3 linked regions of the Rattus norvegicus genome follow. The protein of the gene in region 3 interacts with the protein of the main gene of each other region in a pairwise test. Links are inferred from orthologs where the notes say so. Each region holds a gene or a part of one and is shown on either strand. Other genes may lie near its edges.

Region 1 (4,328 bases), on a different chromosome or scaffold from region 3:
GTCTGTTCTCTCCCTTTCTTTGTGTTTCAGGGATACTGCGGCCCGCATCTGCCACTGAGCATGCGGGGAAAAATCTTTCACTAGATTCTTCACTTAGGAGTTTCAGTAGTAGCACTCCACTTCTCCAGGTTTTAGTAATAACCAACATACCCAAAAAGATAGAATGAAACTTGGAAAGGTGGTGGGAGATACAGGTGGTTCCGGGTCAGGTCGGATGGCCAGCGGGGCTTTGAGGGGGAAGGTAACTTCAGGGAAGTTACCACACACTAACTTACAGAAGCTCTTGCCAGCCAAGTTAAATTCAGGACACCCACCTTGCACATACACCCAAGTTTAGAGGTGTAGCTTGCCAAGTGAGAAGACACAAGTGTTTCTGAGCAGTAAGACACAGGATCAAATTAAAAAAGATTAGAGGCGACATCCTAGCTGTGCCACAGAGATGTACGCTGTGTTTTCATTGGCGCTATGCGGACAGTGCCTGAGCGAGGCCCTTCACAAGATAGGATACCATCTGAGGATGAGAACCAGCGGTGTGGATTGTTCTCGCAGCATAACGGCAGGCTTTCCTTTGTGTTAAACACACAAAATGCTGAGCCAACATTAAATGAACAAAAACGATCAGTTCGCCTGCTTAAAAGCACTTTTGTTGAAAATTAATGAAAAGCAGGGTTTCCAAGAAATCCCCCACCACCACCCACCCCCAAACAAACCAACTTTTGAAGCGGGGAATATTAGATCTTTCCTCTTTTTGCTCAGGCATGTGTGACTTCAATAGTGTAAATAATTTAACAGATGGAGCCCAAGTTCGCTTGTATTTGCAGTGAGTGTTGAGAAGCCAGCTTTTAGAACACAGTGGAGCATGCAGGGGATGCTCAAAGATCTTTTGTCCAATATCAAAGAGCATGAAAACCCTACTCTGGTTTAATGGTGAAAGACCGGTGGGGACAGTTCATATATGGCTATTAGATAGGGTGAAGTGAACGCCTGACTTTTAGAAGCTGGCCATTCTCCCTCATAGAGACGGGGATCACTCACTTTCCTTCCTCACCCTCCCCTATCCCACCATTTTGTTTCTGTGCTACCTAACACTGCCCTTAGCGGCATCTTTTCAAACAGACCCAAAGCATCTGCTTTTTGTGGGGGGACTCAGTATCACGCTCCCCAGACCTTCTATTTTGAAGAGGTTTCATTAGCATGTGGAAATACGATGAAGTCTAAAAGTGCTCCTGTAAGAGGGTTGGCCGTTGGCCCTGGGTACGTCTCTCCCTGCCGCAGACACCTGCTACTTCTTTAGATCTCATCTCTGGCTGTGGTCCTAGAAGTGTGGCTCTCTCGCCCTAAGCGGAGGAAGTGCGAGCGGCGCGAAGTTCAGGCCAGGTCCAATCAGGCACCTGGGGTTAGGTGGCGTGGGTGCAGGCGGATGCCCAGGGCGGGTCCCCGCTGCAGGTCCCGCCCCCTCGACGCAGCCATCATCGGAGGCTCCGCCCCTCGCGCCCGCCCCGTCCCGGGGCCGCGGCTAAAACCCGGAGCCGCTAGAGCAAGAGCACAGGGCAGAGCTGCTCGGCTGCCGCTTCCTCGGCCGGAGGCTGGGCCCTGGTGCTGATGCTGGTAGACTGCGCGAGCTGGGCCCGCGTAACCACCTCGCCGCGGCGCTCTGGGCTCCCGCGATGATGGCGGAGCAGGTGAAATGCGCCTCCCCGGTGGCGGGCTCCGGCGCGGGCCCGGGGCCGGTGGTGAACGCCGAGCTGGAGGTGAAGAAGCTGCAGGAGCTGGTGCGCAAGCTGGAGAAGCAGAACGAGCAGCTGCGCAGCCGGGCGGCCAGTGCGGCCGCCGCCCCGCACCTGCTGCTGCTGCAGCCGCCGCCGCCCTCCGCACCGCCGCCAGCCGGGGCCTGCAGCCCGCTCACCACGCACAGGGCCCCGGCCAGCACGACCTCTCCGGGCCCGGGGGCGCTGGGTCCCGCGTTCCCGGGCACCTACTGCTTGCCCAGCCCGGCGCCGTCCCTGCTCTGCAGCCTGCAGCCGGCCGACGCGCCCTTCGTCTACTCCAAGCCGGCGGCGGGCTTTTTCGCCGGAGGTGGCAGCCCGGAACCATGGACCGCGGGGACCCCGCCGGGGGAAGCCGCCACGCCACCGTTGCCTCCTCCAACGCTGCTGGACGAGGTGGAGCCGCTGGACCTGGAGAGCTTGGCCGCCTGGAGCGAGGACGACGACTACACCTGGTATGGACGAGCTCCGCCGCCCCCCTACCCCCGGGGTTCTGAGGCCCAGCACGCGGGGGCGGGGCGTGGGAGGTAGGGGACCCAGAGGCCTAGCAGGTGCCAAGCCCCAGCCGAAGCTTTGAATGAAGGCAGAAACCTGTTTTGTGATTGTGCCTATTGGACTGGGGGACTGGGGACTGGGGAGGAATTGATCCCTGCCATCTGCCTTGTGCTCTGCTCTTTGCTCATTACCGAGTCCCAAGCTCCTCGTTAGCCTTAAATGCACAACTCATGTCATCTTGTCGCTCAGCCCTGATCTCTCTCTCCCCCACGCCCCCCCCCCTCTCTCTGTGTGTGTGTGTGTGTGTGTGTGTGTGTGTGTGTGTGTGTGTGTGTGTGTGTGTGTGTGTGTGGTGACGATGCTTGTCTTCTGCCCTCCACCTCCACTGCTTACTGTTCTTTTCTTACAAACGAACATTGCACAAGATTGGTGTGCAGCCCCTCTCGGTAGCGCCTGAAGCCACCTAGTGATGGGTCTCTTCTCAGACGTCTGCTCTTGCAGTTGGGTTGTGTAGTTATATATGTCATCTCTCTGTATTTTCATTGATAACCTTTCAAATACTGATTTGATTATTAAAGATGTGCTTACCCTAGTATGTCAAAACCGAAGGCCTGTTAGGGGATGAAGGGAGCAGTGGAGGCACTATTATTATTTTTAAATGAACTTAGGAGGAATTTTCATTAATTTTAAAAATGAAACCGTATTGAAGCGGGCAATTTTATGCCAACTTGACACAGGCTAGAGTCATCAGAGAGGTGGGAACCTCAACGATGCCTCCGTAAAATCAGGCCGTAGGTAAGCCTGTAGAACCTTTTCTTAATGATTGATTTGGGAAGACCCAGCCCATTGTGGGCGTTGCCATCCCCTAGGCTGGAAGTCCTGAGATTAAACAAGGTAGAAGGCTGAGCAAGCCATGGGGAGCAAAGCAGTAGCTAGCATCTCTTCGTGGTCTCTGCATTTAGCACCTGCATCCAGATTCCTGCCTTGTTTGAGTTCTTGTCTTGTATGAGTTCCTGTCCTGACTTCTTTTAACGATGAGCTGTGATGTGGAAGTATAAGCCAAATAAATCCTCTCCTGATTCCCCCCCCCCCCCAAGTTGCTGTGTGTGTGGATCCTGGTGTTTATTCACAGCAATTGTAACCCTAAACAGTGATGTGAGAGAAAAACTTTATTATCTAATTTTAGACACTTTTAGGGTTGATTGGCAGGATGCCTGGTGGAGACCAGAAGCATCTATTCAATGGGAATCTGGTTAGCTGTGTTTCTGCTCGCGACTGAGGAGTTTTTAGAGGAGACAGGTGCCTAGACCCTGCGTGATGTGTTTTCCCTGCTGCTGGCCCATGGAAGGCTTGGCCTTTGTGTACCTTCTGCTAGGGTTTGCCTGCTTGGTCGCTGGATGTACACTAGTGGTACAGACATACCTGAGGAGTGGTTGGATAAAATGGAGTGTCAGGGGAGCCGAGCAGGGTTCACATGGAGGAATAGTACAGGCGGAAGAGTTTTATCCTTTTGTCTTTAGTGCTTTTAGTTAAGAAAATCAGATTTTTTTTTCACTTTGTAATCTTGTTAATGATTGCATAGAAAGGAAACAGAAGGTGGAGAATCTTACTGGTTTGGTATTGGGAACTACAATCTTCCTTTCTCATTGGCAACCTACACGTCAGCTACCTGTGGACTTTGTCAATTGCTTTGATTTTGAGAATTAATAACATTAATTGATCATTAACTGTGGGCACGTCTATAATCTCCCTCCAACTTTGATTTTAGGAACCGTGCAGGTGTCTGTCTTAAGTTGTGCGATTCTAATGGCTCAACTTCCAAGAACTTTATGCCATTCTTTCTAAACCACATTTGGGGGGAGAGTAAGGCCTAAATATAGTTCAGCTTGTATACAATATTGAAAAATGGCCTTGCAGTGGCTTTTGTGTTTCACTAATGCCTGTCAGCCCTTATGCTAATTTCAGATCAGTTGAGCTTTTGATTTTTTAGATGACGTATATAAACAGAAGAAATTGGTTTATAATCCTGATAGAAACACAAAAGAGCAATCCCTTCACAATATGGCA
Region 2 (4,192 bases), on a different chromosome or scaffold from region 3:
TGCTGACCCATTTCTATTTGTGTTCTTAAATATATAAGATGACATTAAAGTCACCCTGTAGCCTAGGCTGGCCTCAAACTCGAGATCCTCCTGCCTCAGCCTCCGGGTTTGTGGCAGGACAACTAGTGTACTAGATTTTTCAGTGCAGAATTAAGTGTTTGGCCTGAAGGATGAGGTTTTTGCAAGGCCAACAGGGAGCCAGCATACCATCCAGGAAACAGACTGGCCAAAGGCCACGTGGATTGATTCTCCGTAAGTTTGGGGGGGGGGACCCAAACAAGACGATCATAAGCTAAACCCATTCCCTGTCTCTGTGCCTTAGTTTCTCCATCTGTAAGTCAGGAACTGATGTTTTCTGAGAGTTAACGCCTTTTACCCTGCCAGGTGGAGCTCTACGGGAGGGGCGTGTCCGCATGATGATGTAACTCTGGGCGGGGCCTATGGGTCCCACTGCGGAAGGCTTGGAGGGAGGTTGGGCTGACTCTGCCCCGACGTGTTTGCGTGGAAGGGGCTCCAGGGAGGGTCTTCGAGCCTCTGAGCCTGCGGGATTCTTGGGACGATCCTACTATCCTCTGTGGGCAAAACTAAGCCATAGCTGGGCACGCGTGGGAAGCAGATCGGGGTCCCACCTCCAACCCTTCACTCCTAGTCTATCCTCCACCTTCTTCACCCCCGCCCCCACCCCAGCCGCGACCCGGCGGCGGTGAGTCAGCGGCCCGTCGCACCCCCTCGCTCACTTCCTCCACACCTTCCCCGGAGGGTGGGGGGCGGCGAGGGGTGGGGCCCGACCTGAGAAGAGAGATCTGGGGAACAGAGGATGTACGGAAGTGTTACTTAAAGGTGGAAATTAATGAGATCCTTTGCTTAACCAGAAGAACCCCCGCCCTCCATAAAAACTGAACAGAAGTCCACCGAGCGAGTTGGAATGGAGAACTGGCACCCCCAGATCTCTACTAAAGAATTCCATAGTAGAGACAGCTAGAGATCAAAGAATGGCCCCTTCCCTTCCAACAAGCTTCCCCCTCCAACTCGGGAGTGAGGCCCAGGGTGCACCCCCACGCCACAAGACTGAGAGGAAGGAGTGCAATTGCGGAAGACCTAGGTTCCGCGTTGCCTTTTAAACGGTCTCCATCCCCCGCCTGGAGGCGTCCACGGCCCCTTTAAGGCGCAGGGCATTGTGGGTATGGGGAGTGGAATTTTGGAACGAAATGTAGCAAAGAGAGTACAGTAGTAAGAGTAACCGCGTAGGTGCTGCCGGCTGAGGGGGTGCGCCGGCGAGGTTCGGACGCTGCACCCCGCTTTCCATCGCAGGGGATCCCAGCACATCAGAGCACCGGAGGGAGGAGGCGCCTGAGCACCCGCCCGGGCCCGGTCCACGTTCTCCCCAGGAAGCTGGACTCTATGGGGCGGGACCCCGAGAGAGACTGAGCAGAACCTGGAGCCAGCCCCGCACCCCTGCACTTCCAATCAGGGGCGCCCCGGGAGCACTCCCCGTGGGCGCGCCGCCTGCCCTCTGCGCAGCCATGAGGTGAGCCCCGAACCCTCCAGCCGGGTCCCAGCCGGGACCCGGCTTCGCGCCCCGCCTTTGTCCCCCTCCCCCCAGCTCGTTCGGGGCTGGATTTAGGGGACACAGCGCTTTGAGCGTCCCAGATCTGGGCCGATGTCTCTTGGAGCGATCTCTAAATATCGACACCCCGTTTCTCCACACTACTCCCTAAAGGCTTGGGGCGGTGCCGGCTGAGGTTCTCTTGATGGCTTTCAGGTTTAGGGGCGCTCTCGGGACTCAGAATTTGAAGACTTTTGGGGGGAGCACCTCCGAGTTCGCAGATAAGTAGAACGTCGCAGGGATGAACTGGTATAAGTGGGCTCAGAGTTACTGCCCCCAAACTCAAAACCAGGTGGGAGGCTGGCTTGAGAACCCGAGCCCTGAAACTCTGAGTCTCGGGTTGTGGTCTTCGGACCCTTGCGTCTGGGGCACTGGATGAGAGTCCCAGAGTGGAACCGCGGTCCTTAACTTTGGGGGTACTTCTTGATGTCCCAAAATTTGGTGGACACGGAGGTTCTCTGGTGGAGGGGTTCTTGAGACTCTGACCCACGGGGCCCAGAGGGTCTGGATGGGACTCTTCTCCCCTTAGGCACCCAGGTTGGGTGGGTCCTAGGACCCGGGAGCACTCCAGGCCCAGGGCGGCTCCTGGCCCCCGGGCCAGAGGACGGTTCTAGTTCCACCCCCACCCCCTAACCTGGTGGCCTGTGAGGGAGGGGGCGCGGCAGCTGGGGGAGGGGGGGCCTTTGTCTTCCTGACTCACCTGTCGAGACAGCTGGTGTGGGGGGCGGGCCCCCGAGTGAGCACTGTGGCCAGCTGCTTTTCCCCACACCACGGCCCCTCCCCTTGGGCTCAATGTCGCCGGGTGTCACCCCCCTTCCCCAAGCCGTGGGATTGGAGGAGGGGGCGCTGGAAAGCGTCAAGGTCATAGCCTTCTCCCTCAGGGACCCAGGCTTACCCGCTTCTTTCAGCTCTCTTCCCAGGAATTTAATCCTGTGGGTGAGGGGGACTCAGAGATTTTTTTTTTTTTTAATGTCTTCTCTGGGACCTGCCCTGAACTCCTGGGCTCACCTGAGGGTGGGGCCTGGGCTGGTAGAGGCCTCCCCTCCTCTCAGCCCCAGCCCCCCCATAATCTCTCCCTTGGGGCCACATCTTGACAATACTATCTCCCTTCCTCCACTTTGGCTGGGACTTCCTGCCCCAAAGCCCCTGGTTAGAGGAGGAGTCTCCTGGGGACAGTTTGGGCTTAACCCCCCATGTGCACATCCTTCAGTCTTGCCCTCTGACATCTAGGTGACATTCTTCTCTAGGGCCCTGAGCTAGGACCCCTCCCTCTTTCCCTCCCTCCCAAGTTTGTCCCTTGGCATGTGGGAGTGTTAGCGTCTGGAGCTAGAAGGGGGACATCGAGACACCCTGGAGACTTCCTGCCTGGCCTTTCCTCCCCCGTGGGAGCTCTGTCCCCCTAAAGGGGGTCAGTTCCTCCACTACCCCCCTCCTCTCTTGCTGCCCCCAGCCCCGCCCCTCCCCCACCCGTTTCCGGTCCCAGGCCCGGTGGAAGGCGGATGGCGGATGTCCGAGTTAGTGCCGCCTCACTCGCTGAGACCGTAAAAGGGCAGGAGCAACGTCTAGGCCGGCCCCTTACACCCCCACCCCCAGTCCCCGTCCTTCTGCAGCCCGTCCCCCTCTGGCTGTGGCCAGGGCCAGACCTCCCTCCCCTGAGGGTAGGCACAACTTGAACTGAAGGGTAGGCACAACTTGAACTGAACGAGCCCCCACCCTCTTAGGAGAGGGTCTCCCTCGTCCTTGGTCACTTGCTTGGCTGTGTCACTTCTCCAAGGACAGCTAGGATTCAGAGAGACACAGAGACAGACAGACCCATTCCTTATTCCTTGCTGGGTAAACTGAGCCCCACCCCCCCAGACTTTGAAGCTTGGGTCCAGTGCCCTCAGAGGTTCTTATGCTGTGGTGGGGAAGGGGGCAGGACTGGTTTGACTGGGGACAGCCCTGTGGGGAGTGGGAAGGGAGGTGGTGATTGAGATGGAAAATTACAAGATACAGTTCTTTTTCTCCCAGTTTGACAAATATTTGCCGAGTGTCTGCTGCATCCGGGAGCTGGGAAAAGGCAGAGAAGGGGTCAGAGGTCTGAGGGCTCTTGGGCAGAATTCTGAAAGCTTCACTCCTTTCCTCTTGCAATAACGCTAGCTGCGGTTGTTATTTTCTTTCCCTTTTAAGTGATGTAGCGGGTTCAGTCACACATCTTCTTTCCATTTTCATCTCCACGGCAGTTAAGGGCAATGAAAGTACAAACTTGTGCCCCTGGTCTTACCCCCACTTTACAGGTAGTAAAACTGAGGCTCAGCAATGTTAAGGAAATGGCCTGTTAAAGTTTAATGGTTTGGGAGTATGATGTGGTGACTCATGCCTGTAACGCAGTACTTAGGAGGTGAATGCAGGAGGACCAGGAGCTGGAGGCCAGCTTGGGTTATTGAGTCCCAGTTTCAAAAATGTATAAAAATCAATTTAGCGGTGGTAAGGTTTGAATTTGTACCTAGGATTGTCTAAGTCTAGTAATATTACAAAAAGAAAAAACTAGAGCTGTCTATGTTTTTTACTTACCATTACCATTCCTCCACCCACCCACCCAATAAG
Region 3 (4,328 bases):
TGTGGAGGTTCTCGCCCACCACTGGACTCTGCTTCAATTTCAGTTCCTGGCAGTGCCGGTGTGAACGGCACAGCCCAGGCAGTTTCCACTGTGGTCACAGAGACACCATCTCCCCTCTTCATTTCTAGCCCCGCTGTCCTTGAACACTCACTCAGCCATGCTGTTTTGCTCTTTCAGCCACCTAAGGACCTCTCCAGACCAGATGGCAGCTGGCTCATCGATTAAGAAACCTCTCTTGGGGTTGGGGATTTAGCTCAGTGGTAGAGCGCTTGCCTAGCAAGAGCAAGGCCCTGGGTTCGGTCCTCAGCTCCGAAAAAAAAAGAAAGAAAGAAAAAAAAAGAACCCTCTCTCACTGATGCTTTGAAGAACATTATTTCTCCCCACAAGGACAGGATCCCAGAGGGCAAGGAAGGTGTGTTAGTCAGTTACTTGACACTGGGACAAATACCCTGGCAGTTTAAAGAGGGGATGACTCGTTTTTGGCTCACAGTTCAGGGCTCTTAGCCCCATCGCCTGTGAGTCTTGGTGAGGCAGAACATCCTGGTGCTAGCTATGGTGAAGCAGAACAGTTCATTTTCACCAGGAAGCGCCAAGAGAACGATCTGCTAACAAGCTTTCTCTTTCTCACCTTTCATCCTATCCAAAACCCTAGGCTGAAATGGTGGCACCCACATTCAGGACCCACCTCTCCTACTTAAGTAAATAAACTCTCTCTGGAAAACACCTACCAAAATGCATCCAGAGTTGTGCTTTCTGGGGGGTTTCTCACCAACCCATAGGACAATCGAGAACAGCACCATCAGGGCCAGCAAGATGGCTGGGCAGGTAAAGGCACCTGCCACCAGCCTGACAGCCCGAGCTCCATCCCAGGGAAAGAACCAGTTTCTCAAAGTTGCCCTCTGACCTCTCTTTCACACATGCGGGGATTAGCCACAAGTGACTCCTTCTCCCCACCTCCTTATGAACACCCGAGTTCAGCACATTTTAAAATTCTATTTGTTGAGAGATGGAATACAGATGTGCTCTCACAGGATTACAGGTTTAGGTCTGCCTTCCTCATCAGACAGATAGTTCCTTGGGGAAAAGATTTTTTTTTACAAAATCCCAGAAACATTAGGAATGATTAGCATTAATTTCTGAAAGTCTGCCCCTCAAGGAAGAAACATGTCCAAAGGAAGGAGAGTTTAAAAAAAAACTAAAACAAACAAACAAACAAACAAACAAACAAAAAACCACATCTTCATCCCAAAGAGACGCTTTCCAAGAGCCTCAAAATTTACACTACTTGAAAACGGCATACTTCACGGGCTAGAGAGGTGGCTCAGCGGTTAAGAGCGCTGGGTGCTCTTCCAGAGGACCCAGGCGCAATTCCTAGCACCCACATGGCAGCTCACACGAATCTGTAATTCTAGTTCCAGGAGATAAGACACCCTCACACAGATATGCGTGTAGGCAAAACACTAATACATTACAATAAATAAATTATAAAATATAAATACTTTTTTTTTTAAATTCCACAAGAAATCGTACTTTAATCAGGTACGCAACACGGCATAAAGAAACAATATTATTTATGCACAAAGCGAGGAGTGAGAAAAACCGTAACATCTGGCCAAGTAGCTGAAAGTTTTATTCCCAACCACATCCGGTAAAACAGAAAAAGTGAGTACAGGTGCGTTAGGCCATACACTGCAGTTAAGATAAACTAGACTCCGCTAAATGAGAGAAGGGTGCGCAGGCACAGTCTCAGGCGAACAGCCACCCAGAAAGCAAGTTCTAAAAGACTCTCTAGTAAGAGAAAATGGCAGGCAGGGAGTGGGAGGAGGGTTGTCACGCAGGCGCAAGACCGCTAGACATGGGAGGGGGAGGGGAAGGGAAGCCGTGCGAGGCGTGCTAGAGGGTCCACAAAAAGGCGCCACTGCCAAAGCTGCCCAGCTGCCATCTTTTTTTCTTTGCAAAAGTACAAAGGCAGAAAATTGCATCTCAACATAAACCCCCCTGCACCGCTCACTCTTTCCCACCAGCCTTTTCCCATTGCAGTCAGAAGCCGCCCACCCAAATCCTTGTCTGGGAACGTGTTCTCAAAGCGGGGGTTACCTGGGAAAGGCGCCTTTCCCACCCCAGCACCAGTCTGGGACTCCAGCTTAGAGCCGGGAGGCTGCAGGCCTGATGCAGGCCAGAGGAACCGTCGGCTGCACGAGGCTGGGCTTACCGTAGTCGGCGAACGGCAGTCGGGGCACGGGCCGCACTGGCAGGTGCTGATCCGGGCAGCAAAGCTCAGGCCTGGGTGCCTGTGGCCTGAGCTGGGGCAGCCACGCGGGAGGACGGTCGTGCAGTCCCCCGGAGCCCCCCGATCCAGGCTGGAAGGTGCTGGGGCCTGGACGGCCACTTGGGACCAGTTGGAAGGCGCTCGGGCCTGGGCTCCGGGCCTGCGGGGACCTCTCTAGGAAGCAGGTGGCCGCGGGGCCTGGCCCAGCACCTCCCAGAGCCGCCCTAGGCAGTGGGCAAATGCTGGAGCTCGAGGCAGTGGCCGTCGCGGCTGCCGGAGCCGGAGCCCTAGGAGGCAGCTGGGGACCCTGCGTGCCCACGGTCGCCCCCTGCTCCTCCGTAGCTTGGTTCTTGAGCACCTTCTGGGCAGCCATGATCTTCTGGCGCTCGGTGATCAGGTAGCACTTATCACAGATGCAATGCTTCCAGCGGCATTTACCCGCATGGCCCTTGACTGGTACCAGATAGCCGTGGTTCCGGCACCTTGAGCACTTGGGGGTACGAAGCATCTTGCCGTTCAGCTCTGCAAGCTCTGCTTCCAAACACAACCACCACTTCCCGAAGCTGCAGAGCGAGTGAAGCAGGAATGAGCTGTGCCCCCATAAATCCCTGGTGCAAGGGACATTGGATACACTTGTAACAAAACAGCTCACTGAGTGTCCCGAGAACTGCAACAGGGCTCTTGCATTTTTCCCACTTTCCAGGTGTGTGTGCTAAATTTACAGTGTTTCTGTGTGTTGGGCCATGGGGTGCGGAGTAAACTCAAAATAGAATACTTATTGCATGTATGTCATATGAGTTATTTGAAAGTTTTTGGCACTTGAATTTTCAAGCTTTCTGTTCCTACCAAATTGTAATTGGAAAATAGGTTTTTGTTTTGTTTTGTTTTTTTGAAAAATGGCGGACGTGTACTCAACGGTCCAGAGGTTTAAAACTCCTGAGGATCAGAGCTGTTAGTAAACCCATACTATTGGAAAGTTCCAGAGAACACAATGTTTCTCCTCCCTGAAGCAGCTGCTTCTGCTTTCATTTCTCTCCTCTGTAGAGAAAAAAAGCAGTCATGCTTCCAGAATATTCTTAGGAGCTTAGTGCCGTGTTGGTTACTTACAGGCATTGCAGAAACCCTGAGTTTTTGAGTTCTGTTTGTGTCAGCACTCTGGTCTGAAAATTTCATGCTTAATAATGTTATAAAGTAAAAGAAACATGATATTCCGGAACTATTTTGAATATTTGGGTTTGGGGTGTGTGTGTCTGTGTGTGTACGCATGCGTGCGTGCACGCGTGCGTGCGAGCGTGTTTATTGTTTCACATAGTCTTTTAATCATCTTTAGGAAGCCAAACAAAACTTACAAGAATTCCTTAGCCACTGTAATACAACACTGATGGAGGGTGCGTACTTCTCTCAGGAACGGGAGCCATAGAAGTAAAACATTTTCAAGAACCTTCCCGAGATATCTGCTCATCCAGTGTGGGGCACGCAGCCCAGCGTGTACAGATCTAGCTTGGGGGAGCTTGTTCCAGGACGGTGTTCATACCCAGAATCTACTGATATTACAAGGAGCCGCGATTTGCTTGTTTTGTGACAAACCATGAGTTCAAGTCTGTTTACTCTTAGAGGAAGGGAACACCCAACTTTGCTGAGTAGTCCTACCCAAAAGAAAAAAAAATTACACACACACACACACACACACACATACACACACTACGCACGCACGCACACACGCATGCACGCACATGCAGACGTGCACATACACACATAAGCAAACACAATTTCCATTTTAAAAAAAATCTAATAACCCACACACAACCTGTCATTTAAATACACACACACACACACACACACACACACACACACACACACACACACACACACACATCTGGGTTAAGGACATGTGCCTCTATCCTGGCTTTTGTTCTCTCTCTCTCTCTCTCTCTCTCTCTCTCTCTCTCTCTCTCTCTCTCTCTCTCCTCTCTCTCTTTTCAAAAGAAATATCTATGGTGTCTTTCAAAGGGTTTCAAAAGGTAAAGACAGGCAGTGCTTTAAATAGTAAGCAGGCCAT

Evidence for each region. The genes of interacting proteins can lie anywhere in the genome.
Region 1: the proteins of Dmrtb1 (region 3) and Slain1 interact in a two-hybrid assay, tested with the Homo sapiens proteins (2 studies listed by BioGRID). The link is inferred for Rattus norvegicus from reciprocal best matches to the Homo sapiens genes DMRTB1 and SLAIN1.
Region 2: the proteins of Dmrtb1 (region 3) and Vasp interact in a two-hybrid assay, tested with the Homo sapiens proteins (2 studies listed by BioGRID and IntAct). The two-hybrid records come from large-scale screens. The link is inferred for Rattus norvegicus from reciprocal best matches to the Homo sapiens genes DMRTB1 and VASP.

Annotation. Positions count from the first base shown.
Region 1 is NC_086033.1:86,895,995-86,900,322, forward strand, and holds the start of Slain1 (SLAIN motif-containing protein 1), read left to right. Parts: upstream 1-1,481; 5' UTR 1,482-1,667; coding exon 1,668-2,221; intron 2,222-4,328. UniProt on the Homo sapiens protein: Microtubule plus-end tracking protein that might be involved in the regulation of cytoplasmic microtubule dynamics, microtubule organization and microtubule elongation.
Region 2 is NC_086019.1:88,050,109-88,054,300, reverse strand, and holds the start of Vasp (vasodilator-stimulated phosphoprotein), read left to right. Parts: upstream 1-1,345; 5' UTR 1,346-1,523; coding exon 1,524-1,528; intron 1,529-1,830; exon of another isoform or gene 1,831-1,847; coding exon of another isoform or gene 1,848-1,855; intron 1,856-4,192. UniProt on the Homo sapiens protein: Ena/VASP proteins are actin-associated proteins involved in a range of processes dependent on cytoskeleton remodeling and cell polarity such as axon guidance, lamellipodial and filopodial dynamics, platelet activation and cell migration.
Region 3 is NC_086023.1:127,678,407-127,682,734, forward strand, and holds the start of Dmrtb1 (doublesex- and mab-3-related transcription factor B1), read right to left. Parts: upstream 2,846-4,328; 5' UTR 2,778-2,845; coding exon 2,213-2,777; intron 2,191-2,212; exon of another isoform or gene 2,098-2,190; intron 1-2,097.